2 linked regions of the Rhinolophus ferrumequinum genome follow. The protein of the gene in region 2 binds, or shares a complex with, the protein of the main gene of each other region. Links are inferred from orthologs where the notes say so. Each region holds a gene or a part of one and is shown on either strand. Other genes may lie near its edges.

Region 1 (7,782 bases), on a different chromosome or scaffold from region 2:
TGGATCTAGCACACAGTAGGCACTCACTGACTATTAGACAAAAAATAAATTCTAAATGAATAAATGAGTACTGCCTCCTCCGGTTATCTCATTACGCTCAATGATACTAAAAAAAAAAAAAAAAAAAAAATCCTCATTATCACCTCCCTTGGGTCCCCTCCCTCATCATACATTGGGAGGCAGAATGCTGAGAACATGAGTCTGGAATCTGGCTTCACCGCTTAATAGCTGTGTGGCCTTGAGCAAGTGTCTTAAGCTCTTCGAGTTCTAAGGAAATCATACATATGCATGGAACAGTTCCTGGCACACGATATGAGGATTCCATAAATGTCGGTGATTATTACTATTTCCATCTATAAACACAGAAGATACTAACTTCCTCTTTTTACGCAGGGCCCCCACATCCCGATCACCAATTCCCAACCTCCTTATTTCCTCTGCCCACACTTGCTGCCCTGGTTCAGGCTGGCTGCCTAGTCCTCACCTGGGGGGGACAGGAATAACGATGGTGAGGAAAGTGGGTAATTAATGAATTTGCCTTCCAGGCCAGAAAAGGCAAAATGGCTTGGGTTCAAAACCCACCCCTGCCACTTACCAGCTGAGTGGCTGTAGGCAAGTCACTTCATTTGACGAAGCCTCAGTTTCCTCATCTGAAAAATAGGTAGAATTCCTGTCTGTCAGAGAGTGCTTATGGGGATTCAAAGAGATTATGCATGCAACCTGCTCAGCATTTTATTTCCTTAGCAATTTAAGGAAACTGTTTGTATTATTAGTCATTATATTGCCTCCCTCCCTGCCCTGCCCAGGAACATCCCAGTCCTCTTTGCCTGCCAGGGCCTACTCCATGTTACTTCCTCTAGGAAGCCTCCCTGGCTTGCCTTAGCCTGTTGGAACTGCCCCTGTGGTCCAGACGGCTCAGGCCCATGAACTTAATTACATGTTGCCCTGGCACAACTCTTGTCTTCCAGTCTCAGGCTGTTATTAACTTCGTGTCCTATTTTAAAACGTAAACCAGATCGCATCATTCCCCTGCCTCAAATCTTACAAGTTTCCCACCTGACGGGGTAAAAGCTCCAAACTCCTTAATGTGACCCCCGACTCCTGCAGAATTGCTGCTTCAGCTGCATCTCCTGCCCCAGCTACCCTATTCCAAGCTTGGTCCAGCCTCAGAGCCTTTGCCCTGGCTGTGCCCTCTGCCTGATCTTTGCAGGCAGGGCTGGCTGCTTCTTGTCATTTAGGCTTCGGCTCCAAAGTCACTTCCTCTGAGAGCCCACCTTGCCCAGAGTTTCTATCATGTCACCCCCTCATATATTATTCATAGCACTTACCACCATCTGGAGGTATCTTTTTAATTTACTTGTTAGCTTGTTTGTTGCTTGTTTCCCCCACTAGAATGGCAGCTCCCCCCTCAAAATCCTTAGTTTTGACTTGTTCACTATTAAATCTTGTGCCAGTGCCTGGCACAAAGTAGGTGCTCAAAATATATTTGTAGAATGAATGAACATATCTTATATCCTCATTCTGACTGTTCTCTGAATCCCCCAATCCTCAGAACATGCCTGCCGTGGAGTTGCTAACTGCCACCCTCTCCCCACATTCCCAGGCTCTCCTCACCTGTGGGGACCGGAGAAAAAGAGTTTTGGCCTGGGCACCAAGCAGGTTAGTTGGAGTTCCAGCCTCCCTACCCTCTCTTCCTTGGGAAGGGCCTGAAACTTCCTTGGGAAGGGCAACTCCACAGCCACACAGAATGGCAGTGGCGGGGAAGCAGGAAGAGGGGCAGAGGGTTCCTGGGAGCTCACACAATCTCTCAGGGAGGGGGGGCACCACACCCAGGCTCCCCTTTCCAACAGGGGAATGCTTTGGAGAGAAGGGCGGGCGGCCTCTGATTCAGTCTTGAAAAACCGGCTCCTGGGTGTTTCCGGAGAGAACGCCTACTCCCCAGCCTGGGCCCAGGCTTCCTAGGGGGGCCTGGCAGGCACAGGACCCCAGCATCCAGGCTCCCTGCCTATGTCCCCTGAAGACATCACTCTCTTCTCAGGACCCAGGTACACCAGCCTTGCCTTCCAGCTCAAGGGAGAAGGAATACGGGCGCAGTTTATTGCTTGAGCTGCTGGTGTCTGGTGACCTCTGGCGGGGGAAAGAGCACGGGGAGAGAAGCAAAGACCAGCAGGTGTGGCCCACATGGTATGTATGGTGTGTGTGTGGAGGGGTGGGGAGGGAGAGGGTAGCACAAAGTGCAGTAGGCTGAGGAGCTGTGCAGGAACATCTGAGCCATGGAGCCACTGGACATGTAGTCTAGTGGTTGAGACTCCAGTTCTTCACTCTGAGGAATGGGACTGAGTCCCAGATCTGCCACTTATTAGCTGGTGTGACCTTGGGCAAGTCACTCTACCTCTCTGGGTCTGCTGCTTCACTCTTAAAAGAAGTAACAGCTCCTATGAGGTGTTTAAATTCAACGATCCTCATAGTAATTACCTGACACAAAAGTGTTCAATCAATGTTAGTGAGGACGATTTTTTTCATTGTTATTATCGGGACCTCGGTCCTTCCCAAGCCTCCCTAAACCCTGGAAGACTGAGGTGAGGCCAGCTCCGGGGAGGTGCCCCAGATAGGGCTCAGAAATACAGACCCCGCGTCTGTGCCCGCCAGAGTGGGGGCTGTCCAAAGGGGTGCAGGAGTCAGGGGTGCGGCTGGAGACCCCATCCTGGCGGTGGAGGCGTTGGCCCCCTACCCCCAGCAGGAAGGGAGGCGCCCAGCTGGGAGGAGGCCTCCGACATACCCTCGCCCAGCCTAGACCTCCAGCCGCGTCTCGCCCGCGCGTGAAACTCACCTGCGCCGCCGCCGCCGCCCTGCGCGCGCCCAGCTCGGCCCTCCGCAAACTCTGGTCCGGGCCTCTCCCGCAGCCGGGGCCGGGGGGCGGGGTCGGCGCCCGCTCCCAGCCAATCAGGAACGGCCTCCTGCAGCTCGCGGCCAATCCTTGCCTCTCATCCCCGTTCCGGGTGGAGCAGACGGAAACATTCCAGAGGGATCCCTCCGCCTCTCCCGACTCTTCCCGACACCCCGCGGCGCAGCGCAGTGGACCTTCCCGCTCCGCCTAAGCCGCGGCGGGCTGTACCATCGCAGGGCTGCGGGTAGGGGGGAAGCTGCGGCTGGGCCTCGGCCAATCGCGGGGAAGAAAGGAGACCAGCGACCAATGGGAAGCTGCAGACTCTGAACCACGTGCTATTGGTTGAGAGTCGGTACCCGGGATACAGGGTGGTGGGGGACGAGGGGCTGACCGTGGGAGTCAGGTGACAAGGCTGAGTTTCGGGGAGAGGATGCAAACTCCCAACGTCAGGAAAAGCAGACCCTTTAGGAGACTTGAGAAGGGGCCGAGGGCAGCCCCACAATCCAGTCCTCCGCCCCGCCTGTCCCTGCCGAAGCCTGGCAATTCTCAGAGCGGATAAAAAGATGCATTCATTCCAGGCTGGCGGGAGGGGGACTGAGATGAATAGGGAGGGTCCCGAGTGTCCCTGCTTCCTGGGGTGTACAATGGACAAGGGCATTCATTCATTCATTCATTCACTCATCAAATATTTAATGTGCCCCTGCTCGGTGCCAGTCTCTGACTTATCTCTACAGACACACCGGCTAGTAAACTGAATGTGTTCCTGGTAGAGGGAACAGTGCCTGCAAAGGTCTGGAGGCCAGACGGAGATATACAGCACATTTTAGGATAATGCAATATCGTAGGCGCTAGCCAAGCAGTGTGAAAGGGGGCAGTGAAACGGAAGACGAGGGCGAGAGGCCCTGTTCCCTTGTTCCCTTGTTCGTTAGACCAGCAAATATTTATTGAGCTCATACTCAGTGCTAGATTACAGTGGGTACCCACGCAACCCAAGCCTCTGCCCTCAGGGAGCTGAACTTTCAAGAGTCTGTCTCCTCCATCTGATTGCAGCCCGCCCCTCTCCTTTCCCTCTCCGCTCCCTCCCCCCCTCCCCACAGAGCACATGTGTGTGGATGAAACGACCAGGTAATCTCACGATCTCTAGGTTTGGCTTGTAACCATGATTTCTCAGGCAGGAGCAGGTTCAAGAAACAAGACACAGGCCAAGACTCTCCGTTCCCAGGATAGATGATATTTCCTTGTGCTAGTTCAAAGCTGACCACTCAGGCAGCTGGGGCTAGACCAGGACTTCACTTGTGTTCTGGGAACTGTAGATCTTGGAGGCCTCTAACTGCTGCGACCCTTCTCAAGCCTCATTGAATGACTGCGCCTTTGCAGTCCCCAGGTGAGCTGCTGTGAATCCCAGCCCCACCAGGTCCAGAAGAGGAGCAAAGTGAAAGCGGAGTACCGGCCCTGGGCTTAGCTAATGCGGGCTGCGTGGCTGGCCCCACCCAGCTGGCAAACACAGAGATCACCACGGCAACAGGTTCAGCTATTGTCCTTGACTTCCTGTTCTGCTGACCTCTGCCACCCTCACTGAGTCATCAGTTGCCTCAGCTGGGCCAGTGCCCTCTGTGGGACTGTACCCACCGCCCTGGTTGGACCCCGCATCTGAGTTGCCCCCTATACACCTGGAGAAGGCTAGATGGAGGGCTGCGGGGACAGCTCAGTCCTGAGCCTGAATCCACCTGTTGACTGATGAGGACGTGCCCAGGAAAGGGTGAGGGGGTTACCCAAGGGCACAGAGCAGTGTCAGGCACCTCCTCCTACCCTATTTTAGAGCTCAAGAGGCATGCCTGAAAACAGGCTGGGAGACCCAGCTGGTGAGGAGCTCAGATTTGAGTATTGCCTCTGCCCTTCTGGAAAAAGCAAGTTCTGGAATGCCAACTAATACATGCAGAAAGAAAGGTTGAATTAGAAAATCACAGCAGTAGAGGAATTATGCAGCCAGTAGAGGAATAAATAATTCAGGCAAGGCTCATCAATGAGGAAGTTAATATTTGGTCTCAAAGGACCAGCCCACAGGATTACTTTTTAATTATAATGGGGAAGAGGTACCAGTGGGAAAACCTGGAAGTCGCCACCTTCACCAAGTGATCAAAATTAACCACTAGTGATGGGACCGGCTGATGTCACGTGCCCCCTGCTGTGTGGTACTGAGACGGACACAACATCACCTGCAAAGTACTTAGTCCTGCCCAAAGTGGTTAATTGGAATCTAATCATGAAGAGACAACCAGGCATATCCTGACTGAGGGACATTTGGAAGGAAGGAAGGAAGGAAGGAAGGAAGGAAGGAAGGAAGGAAGGAAGGGCACTGACCTGGACTCTTCAAACAGATCTATGTCATAAAAGGCAAAATCAATCCCTTAATTAAATGAATGAATAAAAGTCTGGTGAGAAGTTCTAGGTTGAAGGAGACAAAAGAGAGATGACAACCAAAATCGTTGTGTGATCCTTGATTGGATCCTTGATAAAAATGTCAAAACAAAACAAACAAACAAAAAACAAAAAAAAACCCAGCTATGAAGGATATTCTTGGGATAATTGGGGATATTTCAATGTTGACTGGATATTAAATAATAACATTGTATCCATGTTAAATTTCCTGAGGGTGAGCATTGTATTGTGGTTACATAAGAGAATCGTCTTATTAGGTGTTACAGGCTGAATTATTTAGTGGTAAATTTGTGATGGCTGCAACTGTCAAATGGTTCAGAAAAAAATTATATATGTATAAAATATTTCATATACAATAAAATATGGTATACATTAGTATTAATACATAGAGAAAGCAAATGTGGTAAAATAGTAACAATTGCCACTGAATCCAGGAGAGTGGTACATGTATATGGTATTCATTATATTATTCTTGTTAAATTTTCTATAGCTTTTAAAATTTCAAAATAAACATTGGGGGAAAATACTCCCATTTCCCTCCCATCCCCAGAAGTGACCCTCCAGTGGGTTTAAAAATGTGCACCTTTGTGTTTGTGTCTTTCCTTGAAAATGTGCACTGTTTTATGTGGGCATTCTATTGTATTGGGCTTCTTACTTTTTTTTTACACTCAGCACAGTATTGCTTGTTTTGCACTGTACCTTGAAGATCCATCTGGTATTGCTAATTTCTTTTTTCTTTTCTTTTCTTTTCTTTTCTTTTCTTTCTTTTCTTTTTAAATTGGGGACTATTGGGGAATAGTGTGTTTCTCCAGGGTCCATCAGCTCCCAGTCGTTGTCCTTCAATCTAGTTGTGGAGGGCACAGCTCACTGCACTGGGCCATGTGGGAATTGAACCAGCAACCCTGTTGTTCAGAGCTCGCGCTCTAAACAACTGAGCCATCCGGCCTCCCTTTGACTATTTTCTTCTAACTTATGCTTGATGCTCCATGAGATGCATCCCTCGTATCTTACTCTTTTGTTTCCCAAGGTTGGTCTCCAGGCAGCCTCCAGATCTCCACACCACAGTGGGCAGCCATGGACCTGCCCTTTAGGGACCTGGTAAGATTCTCTCTAGGAGAGAGTCCTGGATGCAGAGATGCTGAGTCACTCAATTGCTATTGAGTGCCCCCCCTCCCCGCAGACTAGCTGCCCCCATCTCACCCACTGGCAGTGTGGAAGGGTCCCATATCCCCACATTTCTGCCAGCTGTTGGCATTTTCCAGCTTTCTAATTTTTGTCAATCTGACTCACTGTCAAGTGACATCACCATTGCTTGTATTACATTTCTCTGATTGCTAATCATTTTGCACATGTCCTCGTTTGCTTGATGGCCTTCTGGATCGCCTCCTCTGTAAATTGCCTGTTCATAGCTTTTGCCCATTTTGCACTTGAGCTTACTATCTTTTCTTGTCTATTTGCATGAGTTCCTCAGAGTTTAGATCTGGACTGTCCAATTGGATTTGTCTAACGTGAATGCTCCGCTCTCATGTAGTTATTGAGGACTTGAAATGTGGCTAATACAAATTGAGATATACTGTTGGTGTGAAATACACACCAGATTTCTAAGACTAAGTAGAAAGACAAGAAGATGTAAAATATCACATCTCATTAACTCGTTTTTATACTGATTACACGTCATCATAATAATAATGTGGATGTTTTGGGCTAAAGAAAATGTATTATTCAAATTAATTTTATCTGTTTCTTTTTACTATTTTAATATCTCTACCGGGAAACTTAAAATTATATATGCTCTTGCATAGTTCTACTGAATAAAGCTGGGATATTGAGCCCTGTCAGTTTCAACAATGATAGATAATGTTTAGATAGAGCTTCCTATATGCCAAACACTGTTCTAAGAATTTTATATTTATTAAAACATGTAACTCCCCTAATGACCCTGTGAGGTAGCTACAGTGTTTCACTTTGCAAATATAGTCTCCCCTTCTGTCATGTGATGATTCACTTTGTTTGTGATATTCTTCATTGGAAGGAAATTCCTAATTTCAGTGTAATAGAAGTTATCCATTTTGTGGTTTGTGCCCATGAAATTTCATTAAGGAGGGCCTTTCTATTCCTCAATCACAAAGATATTCTTTTACATTTCCTCCTAGTCATTCAATGGTTTTACTTTCCCTGTGTCTTTATTCCATCTCTAGTCCACTTTGGGTTGTGGGGTAGCGTACAGTTATAGTTCTTCATAATGTGCACTGCTTGCCAGCTGTGTGCCCCTGGGTGAACCCCATCTCCCTTGTGCCACAGTCTCCTCATCTTTAAAATGGGGATCATCATCATAATAAATGGATATAGTAATTCTAAAGTTGTTACCATTATATTAGGATGAAATGAGCTATTCTGTGTCAAATGCCTGGCAGATAGGAAGTACTCAGTGAACACCAGCTGCTATCATTCAACTG
Region 2 (7,819 bases):
CGACCACCCTCCCCACCCCACCCTCAGCTGTGCCGGAGGCCCAGATCCCGAGGGCTTGGACACATCTGGGAGATCCTGCCCAGTGGTACTGACCTGGGCCCACAGCTGGGTATAGGAAAAGGTGGGGGGAATACAGGAAAGTGGCTGAGGAGGGCTGAGAATTTGCCCAGCCTTGGGTTCAGGAGGAGGCCCTTGGCCACTCTGTCCCTGGGGCTGTGTCCCTGGAGAGGCCCTGTCCCAGTAAGGAGAAGGAAGCCCCAGCCCCCTTCAGCAGAGTGAGTCACTGCACCAGGCCAGGCTGAGAATAAGGGACCGTGGGAACCAGGACGGCTCCTGCCAGAGGGGGGAGGAGGAGACTACAGCCGCCCAAGAGGACAGACTCACGCTGACAGTATGGATGGACACACGGGGCCTGGAAAGGCCAAGGAAGTCTCTAGTTCCAACAGGGTCTTCCCTCCGTAGAGGGGGGCTGACTCCCCACTCACCTCCTTTAGTCCTGAAACAAAACTCACCCTCTCAAATACAGCCCATTGGGGGATATGGCTCTGGGGAGGGGAATGGTAGATGTCCCAACCACAGCACTGGGCAGCCTGCCCTGACCTGGCTGGCCCCTGCGGGTGGCAGAGCTGCTCCCTGGGACAGTCTGCTCTGCTCACCCACCGTGACCTTTATTTTCAGGGCAGCCAGCCAGCCGGGTGGTGGGTAGCTGTGGGAGCCCGACTATAGGAGAAGGAATCTGGGTTTTCTCAAAGCCCCAGTGTTGGGCACACCCACAGGAAAATAATTAAGCTCATGAGATTCTTGCCACAGCCTGAGGACCACCGAGAAGGGATAAGGCAGGGCTCCCTAATCACCAGGAGAGGTCTGAGTTTGGCATTTGAGGAAGGAGAGGCTGGGGCTTCCTAGGGCGAAGCCTGGGGTTCAAATCCCCAGATTCAGACCAGGAAAGTAGAGTATGGAAAAGGCGCAGGGTTCCACCTCCCAGGACCCCTGGAGAAGTGACCGCTTGTAGATAGGCTTCCTTAAAGGGAATCACACACAGTTTCCTCCTGCACCCTTGTGTCATGTCCCCACAATGTCAAAACACACAGTTACTCCAATTTGACCCCTTGACACTCCCCAACCCAGGCGGGCACGTGGGCCCCTTTGCCATCCAGCTGGTGTGCCCTCACACCTGGCCCCTCCTCATTCCCTCCTGAGCCCCACTGCCATCTCCTGCACCCTGCATACCCGTGCTGCACATAGAGCTGTTCACTTCCCTCCACCCTCCTGGCCCTGGCACCCACCGACCCTAGTCCTTGGTCAGACACGCACTTACTTGCTGTGCGTTCTGTGCTGCTGCCTCTGAGGCCCCAGACGCACACCTGAGCTGTATATGTATCTTTGGCTGTCTTCAGCGCTCTCACCTGGGTACCCATCGGCAACCTGGGCCCCTCCCACACACCTAGGTATGCCCACCTGTAACCTAGCACTCACTTGAGTACCCGCACACTTGGACCATATTCGCCCCAGCGCCCACATCAGCTGACACATGTATCCTCGGAAGTATATCTAGGTCCCCGCAAATGCACCCGTGGCCCAGAGTACACACCTGTGTCCCCACACACGCAGATCTGGGTCCCAACACGCTCGCACCAGTGACCCATTCAGCGCACAACCCGCCGAGTTACCCGCACGCTGTCCCTCGGGAGCCCTGGGTTGGTCCCCCGCACCCCCATCGCTTGGGCGTACCTGGATGTTGCGCTTGCGCTCGCAGGCCGGCCCGGTGCCCTGAACCACGCTGTCGAGCACAGCCACCACGTCGGGTGCGGGCTCCACGAAGCAGGCGGTGCGCGCGGCGCGGATGGCAGCTTGCACGTCCGCAAAGCGGAAGGCGCAGAGCGCGGCTGGAGCCGCGCGAGTCGCAGGGGACCCCTGGGGCCGCTCGAAGACAGCAAAGAGCAGCTCACGCGCGGGGAAGACCGACACCAGGCGGCTATAGAGGTCGCCGCGGCCCGCGCCGCCCGAGCACTGCAAGCCCAGCTGGATGTAGGACTCAGTGAGCTTCTTGGCGTCGCCGCCGGCGCCGCGGGGCAGGCAGATGCGTGCCAGCAGGCTCCGCGCCTGACTCTCCTTGTCACCCGCGCGCGCCTCGCTGTTGAGTGCCAGGTATGCGTAGGACCGGGCGCCCGGCGGCGGGTCCGGCGGGTGCAGGAAGGCGCGCACGAAACCCAGCTTGTGCTGCTCCTTGGCGCCCTGCTTGATTTTGAGAATGTTGTCGTCGGAAGGGTTGAGGTCGAAGGTGAAGAGCTTGGCCAAGTCGCCGCGCGCATCCAGGGAGCGGATGGCGATCTCTGGCGTGTTCTCGAAGCGGTGGTCCTCCAGGCTGCGGTTGCGCGGGAAGAAGGCGCTGCCGTAGCCGGTGTACGTGGCGCCCACCAGCAGGCGGCTGCCACCCGCGTCAGCGGCCGGAGGCAGCACCAGCCCCACGGTGGACGCGTTCGGGTGGTTGGCCGCCACGTTCAGCATGCTGGGGAACACTGTGACGGGCTCGGCGGGCGGCGCGGCGGGCGGGAAGAGCACGGCCACGGCCGAGATGTTGCCCCGGCGCCGTAGCTGGCAGAAGCCCTGGTAGATGGAACCGCACACGACCACCAGGCCCTGGCCGGGGTCCAGTTGCAGGATCTTGTTGTAGTTGTCTGTGAGGCGCCGCGGGTGTTCGCACGAGGTCTGCGGTAGCTGCGGGGCGTGACACAGCGGGCTGTCGGCCACCGGCCCCACCGCCGCCTCGGCCTCCAGGCTCAAGTTGGCGCCCGACAGCTGGTAGAGGCGGTTGACGGCCGCCAGGTACACGGTTCCTGCCGCGCCGTCCAGGGCGAAGTTGTTGGTGGGCGTGGGCGAAGGGAAGCGGCGCTGGATCTCCAGGGCGCTCGCCCGCGCCGCCCCCAGGAGCAGCAGCAGCAGCAGCAGCAGGCAAGGCGGCGGGGCCCGGAATGGCGGGCGCGGCGGCAGGGGGCTGGCCGCGGCGGCCGGGGCGCTAAGGGGTGCGCCGCCCGCGGCGCGACGAGCCATCCGGGCGTGCGCGGGCTGCGCTGCACGGCGAGTGCATGGGGCGCGGCGAGGCCGGGAGCCGGGAGCCCGGAGGCGGCAGGAGGCGGGGGGCGGGCCCGGGCCGCGAGGCGCTTCCTGCCCGCGCCAGCCGCCCCCGGCCCCGGCGCCCCGGCCCGGCTAAGCCGAGCCGCGCAAGCCGGGGGCGGGGCGGGGGCGGCTCCGTTGCGGACACGCCCTCGCGCCGCGCCCCGCCCGGCCGCGCCCCGCCCCCGGGCCCCCTCCCGCCCCCCGCCCACCTCCCCTAGAGCCCGGTCCCGCTCCCCCGGGGCCCGCTGGCCCCGCCCGGCCCTCGGGCCGACGGGCCTCTGCTCCGCTGACAGTGGGTCTGGCCGCCCCGCGCCCTCCAGGACCCTCCCGCGCGGCGTGGCTCTCTTTCCCGGCGCAGCCTCCGCCTCCGTCGCTTGTTTCTCTCTTCCTCCCTCCTGGCCGCTCGGCCCGTCTCTCTCGGGCTGGTTTTCTGTTTTTCTTCCTCTCTTTCCATCCCACCCGCCCCTGTTTCTGTCTCTCCGTGTCTCCGGGTCTCTGTCTCTGTGTCACCCCTCCTCCCCTCCCCGTTCGTGTTGTCTCTTTTTCTCAGTCTCTAGTTCTTCTCATTTCTCCTCTCGGATTCGCTCTCCCTTCTCTGGTTTTCTGTCTCTGGCTTACTCTCCGTGGCTTCCTCGGCCCCCTTAGAGCCCACTGCCTGTCTCCCGTCCCTCCGATCCCTCTCTCCTCCATCTCTGCCTGTCCCCCCTTCGCTGCCTCTCAGCCTCCCTGGTCCACAGACCTCTCCATCTCACAGTCTCTCCCCTTTAATTCCCTTTTGCGGGGCACTGTCCAGGCCTTAGGCCCCAGGCCTGGGCACCCCCAGGGCCAGCAAGGCTGGTGGCACCACCCCATCAGTCCGCATGATCTGTCCCCCCAAACCCCAACCCCATAAAAGGAGTTTTATAAGTGGCGGGACAGAAGGACAGAGCTCAAGGGTCAGGCATATGAATCAGGAAAATGAAGAGAGAACCTTGTTGGAGCCTGTGCGGGCTGCGGGGCAGCCTGGGCTGGCCACACCCAGAGTGAGGCCCTGGCCCTGTAGGCTGCTGCTCTCCTGTCACCGCTGTTCACCAGGAGGCACTTCCCCTTTGTGGGGGACTCTGAAAGGACCTAAAATCCTCCCAGATTTAGTGGAAAATCAGCCACATGAGTTGGCACTGGGCTGAGTCTTTCACCTGGAAGGAGCAGGTAGGCAATGGGATGGAAGGCAAGCAGTGATGATTTCAAGGTCACAGAGCCCATGTAAGGAGCCCCCACCGCATCTGGCCATGGTGGGTGCTCAAACAGGGCTTGCGTGCCAGGCTCTGTGCCAAGCACTCTACCTGAGTTGACTCCTGTCCTCCTCACAGCCACCCTTTGAGGCTGGTACTGTTAAGATCCCACCTTACAGATGTAGCACCTGAGACTGCAGGGGAGAAGGGACTGTCTGGAGAGGCACAGCTCACAAGGAGCAGAACTACAACGTGTAAAAGACAGACTCTGCTGGCTTTGAAACCACCCCAACCCACCCCCGGCCCCACGCCAACTCTGGCCTCTCGGAACTGGAGGGGGAACTCCCATCAGACTCCTGGCTGTCACATGGTTCCCCCGGGGCCCTTGCTCTGAGGGTAGCCTGGCCTCACCTCACTTGTTCCCACCTGGCCAGGAAGGAAGGACAGGGGGCTTCTCTGTGCCCCACAGGGTAGGCAGGAAAAGCCAGGCCTACAGCCTTCCCCCACTTCCCTCGCCCAACACCCTGCCTTCCTGCCATCAGCATTTGCCCAGCACGCCTGCCTCTCCCCTCCACCCCCACCCGCCATCCCCAGGTCTGGTCACTTTTGATAACCAGGAGTGTTCAGCTACAGGAAATCGGAGGCTCTGCTTCTGGCACTCTGTCCTCCTGGGCTCGAGGCCACTCGGGACAGCCCTGTAGGAATGATAACCCCACCTCCATCTCCGGTAAGGAGTGCTTGTGTTGTGCCACCCATGAGAGCAGACTGGGGAGCCTAGCAGTTGTGCAGGAGGCTGCCTGCCCTAATGCACCTCACCCCACCCCTCCGTGGAGCCCTCCCCCATCAGTCCATCTGTCTGTCTACCTTCAGTCTTATTTTTCTCTAGCCTTCCCCACGCCATCTCTGTTTCTGTCTTCTTGCTCCTCCCAGTTTTTCTCTCTCTTTGTCTCTCTCTCTCTCCCAGTCTCTTCCCATCTCCCTCTCCTTCCACACTGTCTGTCTCTTTGTGTGGTATCTCTCTGTCTCTCTCTGTGGCTGTCTCTCTCTGTCTCCCTCCCTATCCCCACCCCTCTCCCTCTCTCTTACCCCTCCTAGCTTCCTTCCTGTCTCCAGCTCATCTTGCTGCATCCTGCAGCTCCCCCCACCGAGCCCTGAGGATAATGCTCTGTTCTTGCTGCTCAATCTGGTGCACAGTGCAAGATGGTTCTGGGCGCTTTGGACACAAAAATACCTGCCAAGCTGGGTGTTGGGCGGGAGCTGCCCTGGGCTGGGGGAATGCAGGGCCAGTTTAGACTGCAGAGGGCTTGGCCAGGGTCTGTGTCCTGACAAGCTGGAAATCAAAATGCTGTGTGGCCCAGGGCAAGGCACTTGCCTTCTCTGAGCCTCAGTTTCCTCATTGTAAAACAAGGACAATCATAATAGCACACTGGCTCCTGGGAGGTTGTGAGATGTGAAGAACATAACATACCAGAAAACACAGTGCTGGCAAATCACAGGTACTGGGCAAACACCAGTTCTCTCTCCTTGCATTGAGCAATGGCCCATCAGCGCCTCACTGCCTGTCATGAGTCCCACAGCAGCTAGTGGAGTCCAGCACTGCCCTGCACGATCTCATGCCATCCTCACAGCCAGCTGACAAAAGCTGGGATCATTGAACTCATTTCACAGATGGAGAAACTGAGGGGCATTGGCAAAGTTAGGATTTAAACTCAGACCTGTCTCCAGATCCTGTGCTTTCTCCTCTCTGCCCATTAGCTGGGAACTTCTTCAGGCCAAAATGGGTCATGGTGGCAGCCACCCTATACTCCTGGCTGGGCAGAGGAGGTGCTGATAACTCTTGGATGAATGAAGGAAGGAAGGAAGGACCGAATGAACCCACATTTCCCCTGGCCTTGCTGAGATGCAGTGGGGTGTCCTCTCAGAAGAGATTTAAGAGGGAACCAAGGGGAGATGGACACTGCCTGGGAAGTGGGGTTAGGTGGCACCCAACATTAGCTAACTCTGAATTAACGAACTCAGATTAACCAACCCTGGATTAACTACTAGCTAACCCCATATCACATTGTGATTCAGACCCTTTACAGTTTTTTGTTCAAGCCTTCTGATTATATCAAGGAGAGTTCTCCGTTTGGAGCTAATGTGTCTTTAATGCCTCTCTAACATTTGTCATTGTCCATTTTTAATACAGAGAAGGTCTCAAGCTCAGCACTGTTGACATCAGCATTCTAGAATTTACTTACAGCTCCTTGTTTTCTTTGTAATATTTTCAGTTATGTTCTGGTTTTGGCAAATGATACTGGTTTTCCAAGTACAATAATGATGTAAAGCTTGCTTGATATATGCATTTATTGAAGTTTTTAAAATGTAAATTAACTTAAAGACAAATATGAAGTAGGTCATAATCCAGGTGGTACAAAACACCTGACAGTTGGGAAATGTTGACGTAAGCTAGCGCCTTTGTAGATGAGGACATGGTGGCTCTAGTGGGGCAGGTCCTTGCCTGGTCCTTACCCTAGGGGTCAGTGGCCAGGCTGGCCCAGAGACAGCAGACCGGCCCTGGGTGGGGACTCCCCAGCCCGCCCCGTCCATCCTCAGCTCTCTGGCTATGCAGACCAGAACTGTGAGAAGGAGGAAATGTTTGTCTTCTACAATTGGAAAAAATAACAGTGGGGCCAGGGCTACACTGGGAGGAGGGGGGCTCCTGCCCTCCTGTCACTTGGGCCTGGCCTCAGAGAACACTTTCCCTGCAGGAAATGCTCCTGACACACTGCTCAGAGCAAACAAAATCCTCTGGTACAGCTCAGCACCCCCAGCCTGAGTCTTGATAGTGAAGGAAACCATCACTGAGGCTTCTCTCGGGCTTTATCCATCCCATTTCCTCCTGGAGCAGCCTGAGAGGTGGGTTTTATCAGCCCCATTTTACAGATGGGATACTGAGGGTCAGGGAGGTGTCACCACTTGCCTACAGGGCACAGCTTGCCAGCCTCCAAACCCTGCTCTTGACTACTGCGTTCTTCTAACTCTTGCCTTGAAGTTGAGACCTGATTTCCAGGCCCAGCTCTGTCCCTAGCCACCTATGTGGCTTTGGTGGCACCACCTCTCTTTGAACCTCAGTTTCCTTATCTGTAAAAGGGGAATATAATCCACCTCACAAGGCTGCTATGAGGATGGAAAAACATACAAGTGTCACAGCGCCCACCATGTCAGGAAGTGTGGGATCCACTGACTTTCCAGCTCTGAAACACGGGGCTCCTTCCCCCAGAATCCTCAAACCAATTAACTGTACCCCACTCAAGAGAGCTCCCCAGACCCCAATAATGATATCATCCTCCTGGCAACTGCCACTGAGGTATATTGTTGGGTCCGGCCCCATTAAGGGCTCAGATGCACAAGACCACCTCATTTAATTAACCCTCCACTGGGTCTCCCTCCCCTCTTCTCATAAACCTAGGCTCAGAGAGGCCTAGAGGCCTGCCTGAGGTCACACAGCA

Evidence for each region.
Region 1: the proteins of PLXND1 (region 2) and GIPC1 are in contact, whole or in part, in a crystal structure (PDB 5V6T), measured with the Mus musculus proteins. The link is inferred for Rhinolophus ferrumequinum from reciprocal best matches to the Homo sapiens genes PLXND1 and GIPC1. Residues at the interface, in NP_080652.2 of Mus musculus: Glu1400, Met1889, Glu1893, Arg1899, Gln1902, Gln1904, His1905, Glu1908, Ile1918, Tyr1919, Cys1921, Tyr1922, Ser1923, Glu1924, Ala1925; in NP_061241.1 of Mus musculus: His61, Glu141, Ala142, Leu143, Gly144, Leu145, Thr146, Ile147, Thr148, Asp149, Asn150, Gly151, Phe156, Lys158, Arg159, Arg190, His191, Tyr192, Glu193, Ala195, Arg196, Leu198, Lys199.

Annotation. Positions count from the first base shown.
Region 1 is NC_046301.1:47,652,199-47,659,980, reverse strand, and holds the start of GIPC1 (PDZ domain-containing protein GIPC1), read right to left. Parts: upstream 3,030-7,782; 5' UTR 2,831-3,029; intron 651-2,830; 5' UTR 596-650; intron 1-595. UniProt on the Homo sapiens protein: May be involved in G protein-linked signaling.
Region 2 is NC_046300.1:41,540,196-41,548,014, reverse strand, and holds the start of PLXND1 (plexin-D1), read right to left. Parts: upstream 3,052-7,819; coding exon 1,732-3,051; intron 1-1,731. UniProt on the Homo sapiens protein: Cell surface receptor for SEMA4A and for class 3 semaphorins, such as SEMA3A, SEMA3C and SEMA3E. Plays an important role in cell-cell signaling, and in regulating the migration of a wide spectrum of cell types.